4 linked regions of the Saccharomyces cerevisiae S288C genome follow. The gene in region 1 interacts genetically with each later gene. Each region holds a gene or a part of one and is shown in the gene's direction. Other genes may lie near its edges.

The links.
Region 2: mutations in BRR1 (region 1) and ISY1 together harm fitness more than expected from each alone (negative genetic interaction), as found in Saccharomyces cerevisiae (3 studies listed by BioGRID).
Region 3: mutations in BRR1 (region 1) and CWC21 together harm fitness more than expected from each alone (negative genetic interaction), as found in Saccharomyces cerevisiae (3 studies listed by BioGRID, with this or other methods).
Region 4: mutations in BRR1 (region 1) and LIN1 together harm fitness more than expected from each alone (negative genetic interaction), as found in Saccharomyces cerevisiae (3 studies listed by BioGRID).

What each region holds. Positions count from the first base shown.
Region 1 is NC_001148.4:670,877-674,075, forward strand, and holds BRR1 (Brr1p), read left to right. Parts: upstream 1-1,594; coding exon 1,595-2,620; downstream 2,621-3,199. Other genes in the region: TFIIH/NER complex subunit TFB4, read left to right, coding at 250-1,266; YMC1 (organic acid transporter), read left to right, coding at 2,875-3,199. UniProt on the Saccharomyces cerevisiae protein: Involved in mRNA splicing. Required for snRNA accumulation and manufacture of snRNPs.
Region 2 is NC_001142.9:526,902-529,919, forward strand, and holds ISY1 (Isy1p), read left to right. Parts: upstream 1-1,795; coding exon 1,796-2,503; downstream 2,504-3,018. Other genes in the region: UTR1 (NADH/NAD(+) kinase), read right to left, coding at 1-1,575; OSM1 (fumarate reductase), read left to right, coding at 2,960-3,018. UniProt on the Saccharomyces cerevisiae protein: Involved in pre-mRNA splicing and cell cycle control.
Region 3 is NC_001136.10:1,419,931-1,422,659, reverse strand, and holds CWC21 (U2-type spliceosomal complex subunit CWC21), read left to right. Parts: upstream 1-1,821; coding exon 1,822-2,229; downstream 2,230-2,729. Other genes in the region: alpha-1,2-mannosyltransferase KRE2, read right to left, coding at 175-1,503; alkaline phosphatase PHO8, read left to right, coding at 2,410-2,729. UniProt on the Saccharomyces cerevisiae protein: Involved in pre-mRNA splicing. May function at or prior to the first catalytic step of splicing at the catalytic center of the spliceosome, together with ISY1. May do so by stabilizing the catalytic center or the position of the RNA substrate.
Region 4 is NC_001140.6:410,865-414,164, reverse strand, and holds LIN1 (U5 snRNP complex subunit LIN1), read left to right. Parts: upstream 1-1,758; coding exon 1,759-2,781; downstream 2,782-3,300. Other genes in the region: KEL1 (Kel1p), read left to right, coding at 1-480; REC104 (Rec104p), read right to left, coding at 710-1,258.

The sequences.
Region 1 (3,199 bases):
TTTTAGTTTGTGTAAAATTAATTTGATAAATAAATGAATGAAAATGATCAATAATAAGCGAATAACTATATTTTTAATTACCTTATTTTTACAATATTTTTCACTTGCACTTTTATTTTATTTTCAGCGCGCAGCTCGTCTTGTTCTGTTGAAATTCAAAGATACCTGAAGGAACATTACAACATCAATCAACACTTGAGTAGAAATATACACGATCCAATAAAATATACTGAAGCGAAGCAATCAGAAATGGATGCAATATCTGATCCAACGTTTAAGCATGCTAGATCAAGAAAACAGGTTACTGAAGAATCACCATCTTTGCTTACCGTTATTATAGAAATTGCACCAAAGTTATGGACAACTTTTGATGAGGAAGGAAATGAGAAAGGAAGTATAATAAAGGTTTTAGAGGCATTGATAGTATTTCTCAATGCTCACTTAGCGTTCAATAGCGCCAACAAAGTAGCAGTCATTGCTGCATACTCTCAGGGAATCAAATATTTATACCCAGAGAGCACATCTGCTCTAAAAGCCTCTGAATCTGAAAATAAAACCCGTAGTGATCTTAAGATTATTAACTCAGATATGTATAGACGTTTTAGAAACGTTGATGAGACGCTAGTGGAAGAAATATATAAACTATTTGAGTTAGAAAAGAAACAAATCGAACAAAATAGTCAAAGGAGCACGCTAGCAGGTGCCATGTCAGCTGGGCTGACTTATGTAAACAGAATATCAAAAGAGTCAGTAACTACCTCATTAAAATCAAGGCTACTTGTTCTTACGTGCGGGAGTGGCAGTAGTAAAGATGAAATTTTCCAATACATCCCTATAATGAACTGTATTTTTTCCGCAACAAAAATGAAATGTCCCATTGATGTCGTAAAGATTGGTGGTTCTAAGGAAAGCACGTTTTTACAGCAAACGACGGATGCCACAAATGGCGTTTATTTACATGTTGAATCTACAGAAGGGCTAATTCAATATTTAGCAACTGCAATGTTTATTGATCCGTCGTTAAGACCTATAATTGTTAAGCCAAACCATGGATCTGTAGATTTTAGGACATCATGCTATTTAACAGGGAGAGTTGTTGCCGTTGGATTCATCTGTTCAGTTTGCCTATGTGTCTTATCAATCATACCGCCCGGAAATAAATGTCCTGCTTGTGATTCTCAATTTGATGAGCACGTAATTGCCAAGTTGAAGAGGAAACCAGTTGTTCCAAGGTTGAAAGCCAAAAAGAAGGTGACGAAACCATGAACGAAAGGAATGAACATTATCCGTTTCAAGCAGGTAACCTTCGTCACAATGCATCGTAATAATACATAAAAAAAAATTAGCTTTAAGCACATGTATATTGGACATTCCACAGAAAAAAAAAAGCTTTTGATGTGATTAGCTTAAGACGTTGTGTCATCTTTGAACTGTTTTGACTTCAATCATATCGAATTTGATAATATAACTATCTATGTACTGTCTGGGTGCATCGCTGTTGTTGCTTCGGTAGATTTATTAGTTCGCTTTGGATAATGTATCATACAATAACATTGCCAACATCCATCATAACAGAAACATTAGGTGATAAACAATGAAAAGAGGAGAAAGCCAGGCGCCTGATGCCATCTTTGGTCAATCTCGTGCATTTGCACTATCTGATTCTTCAGTGAATCCTGATGTCATTGAATATCTTAAAAGTGTTAGGCAAGAAGCACTAAGAACCAACGCCATATCGATTAAGAATCATATGAATCTGCAAAAGAGGACGCGTCACAAATCAAGCATGTACGATGATGAGGATGAGGGGGCCCTTAAAAGGCACGCCATCTCGCCATCCTTGATTAGGCTTCAAAGGAATGTAGAAATATGGGTAAGGTGGTTTAACTCTGTGAAGGCGACGGTGTTGACTAATGCCTACGAGTTTACCGGTTATGAGGACGAAACACTGGATCTTTTATTGCTTTTCTTAAAGAATTATCTCGAAGATATGCCCAGCAAATGTACTACAGTTGAAAAAATTATAAGTGTCCTAAATCAGCATTCCTTTCCTGAGAAGGCAGAAGAGAAGGAAGAAAATCTTCAGATTGATGAGGAATGGGCGAAGAATATTTTGGTACGGCTGGAAAAAACCAAGATTGACAGTGTTGAGGATGTAAAAAAAGTAATCACTGAAGGAGATAAACATGAACTAGTTGGATACAACCAGTGGTTCCAATACCTTATAAACAATGAACCGCAGCATACTACTTTTCATGAAAAGATTACCTCTAAGCAACTTTGGGTTCTGATCAAGTATATGTCGAATACATGGATAAAAGAAATACACAAGAAAGGAAGGCATTATCGTCGGCTGCAAGATTGGCTATTCTACATACTGGTACATACACCCGAAAGAGTCACGGCAGAATATACAAGCATCTTGAGAGATCTTGGAAAGAAATGCCTTGAACTGATTCAAAAGAAGCCAGTTGAAGCACATGAGAATAAAATAACACTCCCGAAGGAGATGGCGGAATTGAATGTTGAGATACCAGCCGCGGTGGAGAATATGACGATAACTGAGCTGACAGTGTCTGTTATAGCAGTGAACTATGGTCAAAAAGACTTGATAGAATAATGTAAATAAATTTCTTATGTAGTTTTTTACAGGAAGTAAAAAGTGTTATTACTTTGATTGACTCATTCTTACATTTACTGATAGGCCGAAGATAAGCGGCGCCCTAAGAAAACTCGAGCGCAAATTGTCAGCGATGATGTAGCCATGCTATAGCATCAATCAATGTCAATAAGCTAATAACAACTATCATCTATACTCCAACGCAGCTCTCTTGTTTAGGTTTCTCGTCAATCAAATTCGCATCACGAAGAAGTATGTCTGAAGAATTTCCATCTCCTCAACTAATCGATGATTTGGAAGAACATCCACAGCATGATAATGCTCGAGTCGTGAAAGATTTGCTTGCAGGTACAGCGGGTGGTATTGCGCAAGTGCTAGTGGGCCAGCCCTTTGATACGACAAAAGTTAGGTTACAAACATCGAGCACCCCAACAACAGCCATGGAAGTCGTCAGAAAGCTGCTTGCCAATGAAGGGCCTCGCGGGTTTTACAAAGGAACTCTGACGCCATTAATTGGTGTTGGTGCATGTGTTTCATTACAATTTGGTGTTAATGAAGCTATGAAGAGATTTTTTCATC
Region 2 (3,018 bases), on another chromosome or scaffold:
TTGAGAAGGTTTTGGGACGCTCGAAGGCTTTAATTTGCAAGCTTCGCAGTTTACACTCTCATCGTCGCTCTCATCATCGCTTCCGTTGTTGTTTTCCTTAGTAGCGTCTGCTTCCAGAGAGTATTTATCTCTTATTACCTCTAAAGGTTCTGCTTGATTTCTGACTTTGTTCGCCTCATGTGCATATTTTTCTTGGTTCTTTTGGGACAAAATATGCGTAAAGGACTTTTGTTGTTCCCTCACATTCCAGTTTAGTTGTCGACTGATACTGTTAATAAACTCATCGGGCGAGGCTTCCACGGTTGGAAAAGCATATGGGCTGGCGCATATGGTTATAAAATCACCTTTTTGCAATTCAATTCTATCTTTCCCATCAAAAGCCGCCCATGCTGGAGCCCTTGACTTCATCGAGACTTTCACTTTTAAATTTATACTTTCTGGTAAGATGATGGGTCTGAAACTCAATGCATGTGGACAAATGGGTGTTAAAGCGATTGCATTGACGGTTGGGCATACCAATGACCCACCTGCACTCAAAGAATAGGCCGTGGACCCAGTCGGAGTAGCAGCAATCAGTCCGTCCGCCTGCGCAACGGTCATTAATGAGCCGTCACCATACAATTCTAACATGGATAGAAAAGGACTTGGACCACGATCGATGGTCACTTCGTTCAAAATGTGGTGTGTGCTTAGTTTTTCCACCACACATATTTTCTTCCCCGTGTTTGGGTCTACTTCAGGGCGGTGTCTACGATAAATTGTGCACTCCAACCTCAACCGTAAATTTGTCTTGATTTTATGATTCATAATCCGAGGTAAATCCTCCCTGAAATGTTCAAACTTAAAATTTGTTAAAAATCCTAGAGACCCTAATGAAAACGACATAACGGGTGGTACATGTCTCTGAAAAATGGAACTTACAAAAAGAACAGTACCGTCGCCACCCAAAGTCACTACCAAATCGAAGAAAACATCATGTTCCCTGATGAAATCCTTTGTCCAATACTTGATCCTTGATTCTCTACATTTACTATCTTCACATAACTCGCCAGCGGCAAATTTTTTGCTGTTTTTCAATTCGGAATCCACATAAACAGTCACACGTGGAAAATGTACCAAAACCCATTCTACCAACTCTCTTGTTAAGAAATACAGTGAGACATCGTTGAGTTTCGTAACAATCATCAAATTTTCCACATCCAGTTCCACTTTGGTATTAGATATATCTTTACTCAACATTCTTACACCATACGCCGTGGAGGCATACTGAAAGTGTGTATTACTACTCTTAGAACTTCCTCTTGTTCCGTTAATGCTCGTACCACCGCCACTGTTTGCATTGCCGTTCACGAGAGATGAATCTTTATTCAACAGGGAGCTTCTGCGCGAGCTGCTTTCACTTGATATTTTCCTCAACATTTCTTTGGCGTTGTCGATATCCTGAGTTCTATCAATTTGCTCATTGTTCATCATGGCCTTCTTCATCAAGTTATTATTGTTGTTATGATGATCATTTCGACCATCTTCCTCATTTACCCATTTATCTACGCCATTATTCATGTCATTCTCCTTCATCTCAAGAGCTTTTACTCTACTTATTTAGGGAGCCTATTGTATTTTTTTTTGGCTTACGATCACGATGTCAATGATCATTTGCCCTATTATACCTTTTTCTCCGTTCTCTTTGCGTAGTGCGGTGAAATAATTTCAGGATGCATGAAAGAGCAAATAAAAGTGACACACCGTTATATCGCAAGGCGCACCACATCAGTAATCAGATACCTGTGCATTCAAAATGAGTAGAAATGTAGATAAGGCCAACTCAGTTCTGGTACGATTTCAAGAGCAGCAAGCAGAGTCGGCAGGTGGATACAAGGATTATTCACGTTACCAGAGGCCCAGGAACGTGTCTAAGGTAAAATCCATAAAAGAGGCCAACGAATGGAAGCGACAAGTAAGTAAAGAGATAAAACAAAAAAGCACAAGAATATATGATCCGTCTTTAAATGAAATGCAGATTGCGGAACTTAACGACGAACTTAATAATCTTTTCAAAGAATGGAAGAGATGGCAGTGGCACATTGACCATACACTTATGGAAAAAAAAACCAAGAGGAAAAGGTTAGAAGACAGTCATGTGCTGATGAATTCAGGAAAGCTGATAAATGGTAAGAGATATTTTGGAAGAGCCCTGGAATTGCCTGAAGTAAAAGAATGGCTCAAGCAGTCTCAAAGGCAGAATGATGGGGGTTCTATAAACACCAAATGCATACCGAAGGATAGAAATGATTTTTATTACCATGGCAAAGTCACAGCCGCCTTAACCGAATTTGAGGCTAACTGGACATCCATTTTGAAAGCACATTATAATGTGCCTGTGAATGAAGATGAAGAAGAAATGTCAAGGCAGACACAAGAAATCCATGTACCAACTCTGGCAGATATGGAGCATTGGTTAGTGCAAAGAAGAAAAAAGAAACTAATGGATGAACTTAACCTTTAGCTATGGAAAATTATTCAAACATTTAGAAGAGGCACTATTTCGAATGACCATCACAAGCATTATAATCTTCAAACATGTCCGAGCTGCAGATATGAAGTAAAATAGTGATCGGGACTCATTTTTTTTTCTTCTATGATATCATATTGTCCCGTTCGTTATTAAATGTAATTCTTCCACCGTACTAGTTATCGAAGGCAAGATCTCCTTTTTACGCTTAGGTAGATTACATAGATTTCATAATGTACACCAATACAAATGTATCTTATACACTCGTCAAATCTTATATGAATCATGCAGGAGTAGCTCTCGTTTTCTTTTTACGAGCTACTTGAAAAAAAAAAACTAGCGAAAATCCTTTGCTTAGAAATCCAGATTTAAAACAAAACCGCCGAAAAGGGAAAGATTTTATGATAGGAAATACCTTAATAATTCTATATCATCCCGAGTCTTAGGAAAATGATTAGATCTGTGAGAAGGGTTTTCATTTACGTCTCAATATTCGTATTGATAATAGT
Region 3 (2,729 bases), on another chromosome or scaffold:
ACTATTCTCGGAATACGCTAATGAGAATAAAAATATTCGAATCTTTAAAAAAAATGTGGATTGCCTCACTTATATGTTTGATACGCAGTCCTATGTGTACTTAACCAGTTATAAAAATAAAATATAAATAGAAAGTATAAAGTCAAAACAAAGAAACAGTATGTTCCAAGATTTCTACTCACGGAATTTTTTCCAGTTTTTTGGCTTTACCAACCCTTGAGCATCATAATATTCCTTACCACAAGAGTAACCTTGGAAAGTGAAATCATTACCTTGGTCACATTCACAGTTGTTACTGTTATAGACCTCCTTGTCCAATGGGCAGTTATCATAAGGTGGATGATGGTAACCAATGTCTGAAAAATAATGGATTTTATCCTTTGGCAAAAACAAAGCAGCAGCAATAGAATGAACGGGAGCATCGCCCCATCTTTCGTAGAAAAATCCACCTTGATGATCCAAAGTGTCAAAATACTCTCTGTAGGCTGGTGACCTCCACAAATTCAAGTTTGCAATTTCAAAGTTTGACCAGAAATGGCACAGATTGTATGTTTTACCATTATCGTTCGAAAGAAAACTCATCAGGTTGTTTTCATCTAAGTATTCGGGGTTCTTTTTGATGAAATCCATGGACGTTTGCCATAGTGTTGGGATCGTCACTTCATATTCATGAATAGAAACGGTAAAGCCGTAAACTTTTTCGTTTTCTTGCATCCACTTAAAAACGTCGTAATTAATATCACAGTATAACTTGATGTCTGGTTCCACACGCCAGTACCAATCGTACTCTTCTAATAATTCATGTCTCCAGAAAAACCCAGATTGGTAACGACACATGTGTCTATAAGATTCGGAGCCACCGTATATGTATTTGGTGGCAGCATCTGCACGAATTTCAGCAGCCTTGGTTTGATTAATCCATTCAGGATATGACCAATGTTCCTTGGGCAAAATACCAAACTTAACTTCGGAAGAAACAGCTTTGGTGACTGCTTCCTTGAATTCTTCAGTAAAAGGTTCATCGTTTAGGAAAACCCAAGGATATGGGAATTTCTTGTTAATTTTGTTTTCCACATATTTAATGGAGCTTAGCAAACCTTTCAACTCCTTGTTTCTCACCAAAGTGACGTAACAAGCTTTTGGCTTACCAGCTTTGTTAGCAAAAGATGGAGTGATATAATCCATGGTTGTTTTAGTGTCGATCGGGGCATCTGCCTTTTCAGCGGCAGCTTTCAGAGCCTTGGATTCTTCATCCATGGCTTCGGAGTCTTCGCTTGCCTCTGAATTCAGAGCACTTTGCTCTAATTTTTTAGCATCATTTTCCTCAGAGATGACTTGTTGTTCAGGGGATATAGATCCTGAGGTAAAATCAAATGCAGCGGAGATGGAACTCGGAATATATTGCTGAGTTCTACTGTTGGAATTCAATGTTAGGAGGAGAACAATAACCGCACCTGCAATGACGGTAAATCTCAACAGTCTCTTACTGAGAAAGAGGGCCATGCTTTCGAGTGGAACTGCTTGCGAATATGGATATCACTTCCAGTATTATAGATTCATAAAATGTATAAACGAATTAAATCGCAAATTATCTCCTTTTCAGACTGTTTCTTCACCAAATTTCTTTTTTTTTTCCTACTAGAAGAAGGCGTAGCAGATAAGAAGGAAAAATTATATTAAGCGTGCGGGTAAAGGCAAGGAAGAATCAAGTAAGACCTCAAGAATGGCACTATAAGTGTGGTATTATAATCTGTGTAATCCTAATTTGAGCTCTACACAATACCATTCGACGGTTAACAGCTACTGCATCACCGTCCAGTCATGTCGTACAACGGAATAGGGCTCAAGTCGGCAAAAGGGTCATCTACGTCGGGCCACGTGCAGCGATCACTTGCTAGCAACAATAGGCGCAGACCACAGGGTAGTCAACAGCAGCGGCAACAACGACAAAATGCGATCAAAAAGGCCAGCCATGACAAGGCAAGCAGGCCTCTTGCTGTGCAGAAACAGATAGAGACTCATATGGAGAAACGTGAGATTGAAGTACAAGTTAGCGAGCTACGGGACCGACTGGAGGAGGAAGAAACGCTCTCGGAAGAGCAGATTGACAAGAAATGTGAAGCGTTGAGGGCAAAACTGACGAACGAGTGGCAAGAACAGCAGCGGATGTCCTCTTTGTACACCCCTCGTAAGGCGCGTCTAACGGAAGAGCAGCATCGACATGAATAGCAGCATTGACGATAGCGATAAGCTTCGCGCGTAGAGGAAAAGTAAAGGGATTTTAGTATATAAAGAAAGAAGTGTATCTAAACGTTTATATTTTTTCGTGCTCCACATTTTGCCAGCAAGTGGCTACATAAACATTTACATATCAGCATACGGGACATTATTTGAACGCGCATTAGCAGCATGATGACTCACACATTACCAAGCGAACAGACACGTCTTGTTCCTGGATCTGACTCGAGCTCTCGTCCTAAAAAGAGACGGATCTCGAAGAGATCAAAGATAATAGTATCCACTGTGGTCTGTATTGGTTTGTTGCTGGTTTTAGTGCAACTGGCATTTCCAAGCAGTTTTGCATTACGTTCTGCATCACACAAGAAGAAGAATGTCATATTCTTCGTGACGGATGGGATGGGACCTGCGTCTTTGTCCATGGCAAGATCATTCAACCAGCATGTTAATGATTTACCTATAGACGACATCCTGACACTTGACGAGCATTT
Region 4 (3,300 bases), on another chromosome or scaffold:
AAACTATCTTCTGAATACCATGCTTTAAAGATGGAACACAGCTCATTAAGTCAAGATGTATTAGTAAAAGAGAATGAAATCAAAAAAATACAGAATGATTACAAAGAAAGTATCAGTTCTATGGACAGTGCAAGTAAGGCACTAATGGTTTCACAAAGAGAGCTAGAGAAGTACAAGAGTTTGAATAAAAAGTTAATCGACGAGTTAGATGAATTGAAGTTCAAAAATGGCGTCTGCAGTGAAAATTTCGAAAATGGTCTCAGAAGCACCGAGGAGAGTTCCAATAATGTAAAAAATAGCAACAGCATAAGAGAAAATCAATTCAACATCAAAATAAATGATCTGAAAGCGGAACTCTTCATCACTAATCAAGAAAGAGATGACTTGAAAAGTGAAGTGTTAGAGTTGAAAAAGAGATTATTGAATTTGGAAAATAACACCAAACAAGTTAATGAAGATGCTGACAGCGATCTACTATAAAAGACAATATGCGTAATGAAATTTCACTTTTCATGTGTAATAACAATAATAATAATAAACATTGATAATAAACATTAATAATATTAATAGTAATCATAACAATTATAATAATGATATAATATAATAATAACTGTACTCTTGACAAAAATTTATATATCATGGAAGAATAAATGAAGGAGAGAAATAGTAACGTGACAAATAGCTTATGCTAACGATATCAAACTAAATCTCAGGGACTACTAAACTGAAATATGCTCCCATTTGAAGCCTGTCTCTCATACATCAGCGCAGAATAGTCCGATTGCAGTATTTGGGCGGTGCTGGACGAAGATATGGGTCTGATTTCATTTACTTCACTTCGTAGCAATGTAAAGCTAAATTCATCCTCTATTTCATCTCCTGCTTGATCATTCCTCTGTATTAAAGGATCGTCATATAATGTGTCACTATACAGAAGACAGGTATCATTATTATTGCTTTCCACCCTCTTCGGCATGCATACTGGGTCGCCTAAGATAAACGGAAGAGATACTGTTGCAGATTTCTTAAAGGAATTGCTTAAGAGGTACGTTGAAGCTGTTCGTTTTAACCCAGGCTTAGGATAGTTTGTCCATGACATGATACAATTTACTGCCTTATCAAATTCATCTTTATTTATCCTTTTTACGGTCTTGTTATTTAACCCAAATTGAATGCTAACCCTTTCAGTTACAAAGTATTGGTGAAGAAAGTCTTGCGTACATGTGATCTTATTTGTATCTTCCTCCTCGATGGACATGTTGTCCAAGTTGCTGTATGTTCTTTTCTTCAGCAGTTTGTTTTCTTATACAAAAGATATATTTTATTTGGTATAGCGGAAAATAGCCGCCAAATATTGTGCGTCAAAGTTGAAGAAACATAAAGTTTAACACTACTGGTTTATGAAAGAAAAGACTACATTTGTAAGCCTACTCCAAATTGACCTTTGAATAAGTGTGGCTTACTCTATTAGCTAAAGGACATTATCACTCATCACCATGAACATTCAGTAGTAACATAAAAGTCCCTGCCTTGTTTGTGAATGAGGGTCCCTTCCTTTACATTCTACCAACATAGTCTCCTTTTCTTCCATTTATGCCCTAATAATCGATTTTAATTACTTAATGGGTAAGTTTCTCTGACTAGATTAAAAGAAGCGCATCCGAACAAATTGGAATGACCATGCTAAGCTGCCTTTTAAAGAACAAGGGAAAACTTTGATAAAAACACTCAAGTGCACCATATTGTTTGTAGAAGGATATGAAATATACGCAATACCCGAACAGCTCAAAACTGAAAAGAAATAGTGATCGACGTGAACACGACGAAAAGCTTAGCGATGAGTTACATAATCAAAGTACGATATATGAAGATGAAGAGCTAAGCAGGGCAGAATATGATTCTGATTCTGATTCTAGCGTTGAAGATTCTACAGATAATGAAAATAGTGGGAAAGAAATGGATGAAAAATCCTATGAAAAAAATGAAGATCACGTCGAAGACCATAGAAAGCGAAAGAAATCGAAAATTCAGCTTTTGGATATTGCAGAGTTCAAGAAAGAAAACTTAGCCGACTTAGATTATCAGATCGGTAATTCAGAGAGCAAGGTAGAAAAAGGTGTGAATATAGAGCCATTTAATATAGATGACGAAATAAAACATGGGGTATTCGATAAAGATGGGAATTATATTAAGACAGAAAACGCCACAGAAAATGATCAACAAGATAATGAGGAATGGATGAATGATGTCATAAATACAGAGGAGGTAAATCGCTTAGAAAAGGAACAAAGTGTCAAAACGCAGAATTCGAGACATTATATGGTCCACGAAGCATTAAATCTTTTGAAATTTTTTCTTGTTGATGAGAATGAAACAGTACTGGAATCCTTGGGCAGGTTAAACAAGCTGCGAAAAATTGCCATTTCAAAAAAGAACAAATCATTGAAATATGTTATTCACGGAATCGAGCTATTATCTGATTTGATCAATATACTAGAAAAAAAGGGATTCAGTGAAGTATATGAATATAACCGCTTAAAAGTTCAGGATGCTATAGAAGAGGAAATTTTCGATGACTCCTCCAGAATAGTTAACCATAAAACAAAGTTATGGGGCTTCAAGTGGTTGAACAAATTAGATGAATATCACGGCCTGTACACGAACTATGAAATGTCTTATTGGCAAAAATCCTACTTCAAAAACAGTGTTATAGTAAAATTTCACAGCGAACCAGATCGAGATGAAAACTGGATACATGTATCGTGTTTAAGTTTCATGTAAGATATAAAAGTTGAAATTATTCAAGAGAATTGCCTGCGAGACTATATAGTACTAAGTTTATTGTTTGGTCAGATAAATTGATGAATGTTGGATAGGAAATTTTTATCAATCATATCAAAAGATCTGAGTGAGCTGAGAAGGTTATCATCATATAACAAATAAACAGGACTATATTATTGGCAGACAAAAAATGAGTATCACAAGTGTACAAGGAAACCAGGACAGTAAACCTACTGTCGCAAATTTCCTCTATCCACCTGGCGCGTAAGAATCACCTGATAAAGATATCGTTGAAAGCATCGACCTAGACATTTTTAAGCTGCCATAAATTGGGCTGATAAATTTGTGATATTTTTCTCCAACTGTTTATGGTCTCTTATATACTTTGCGAAATTCTAGAAAAACGAAAAGGTGAAAAAAAGAAACCCGGAAAGGGCGAAAAAAAAAAGTACTTAGGGTTAGCACCACAATTATATAAAATGCTATGTATTTTACAATATAATCATGAGCCAAGAAATA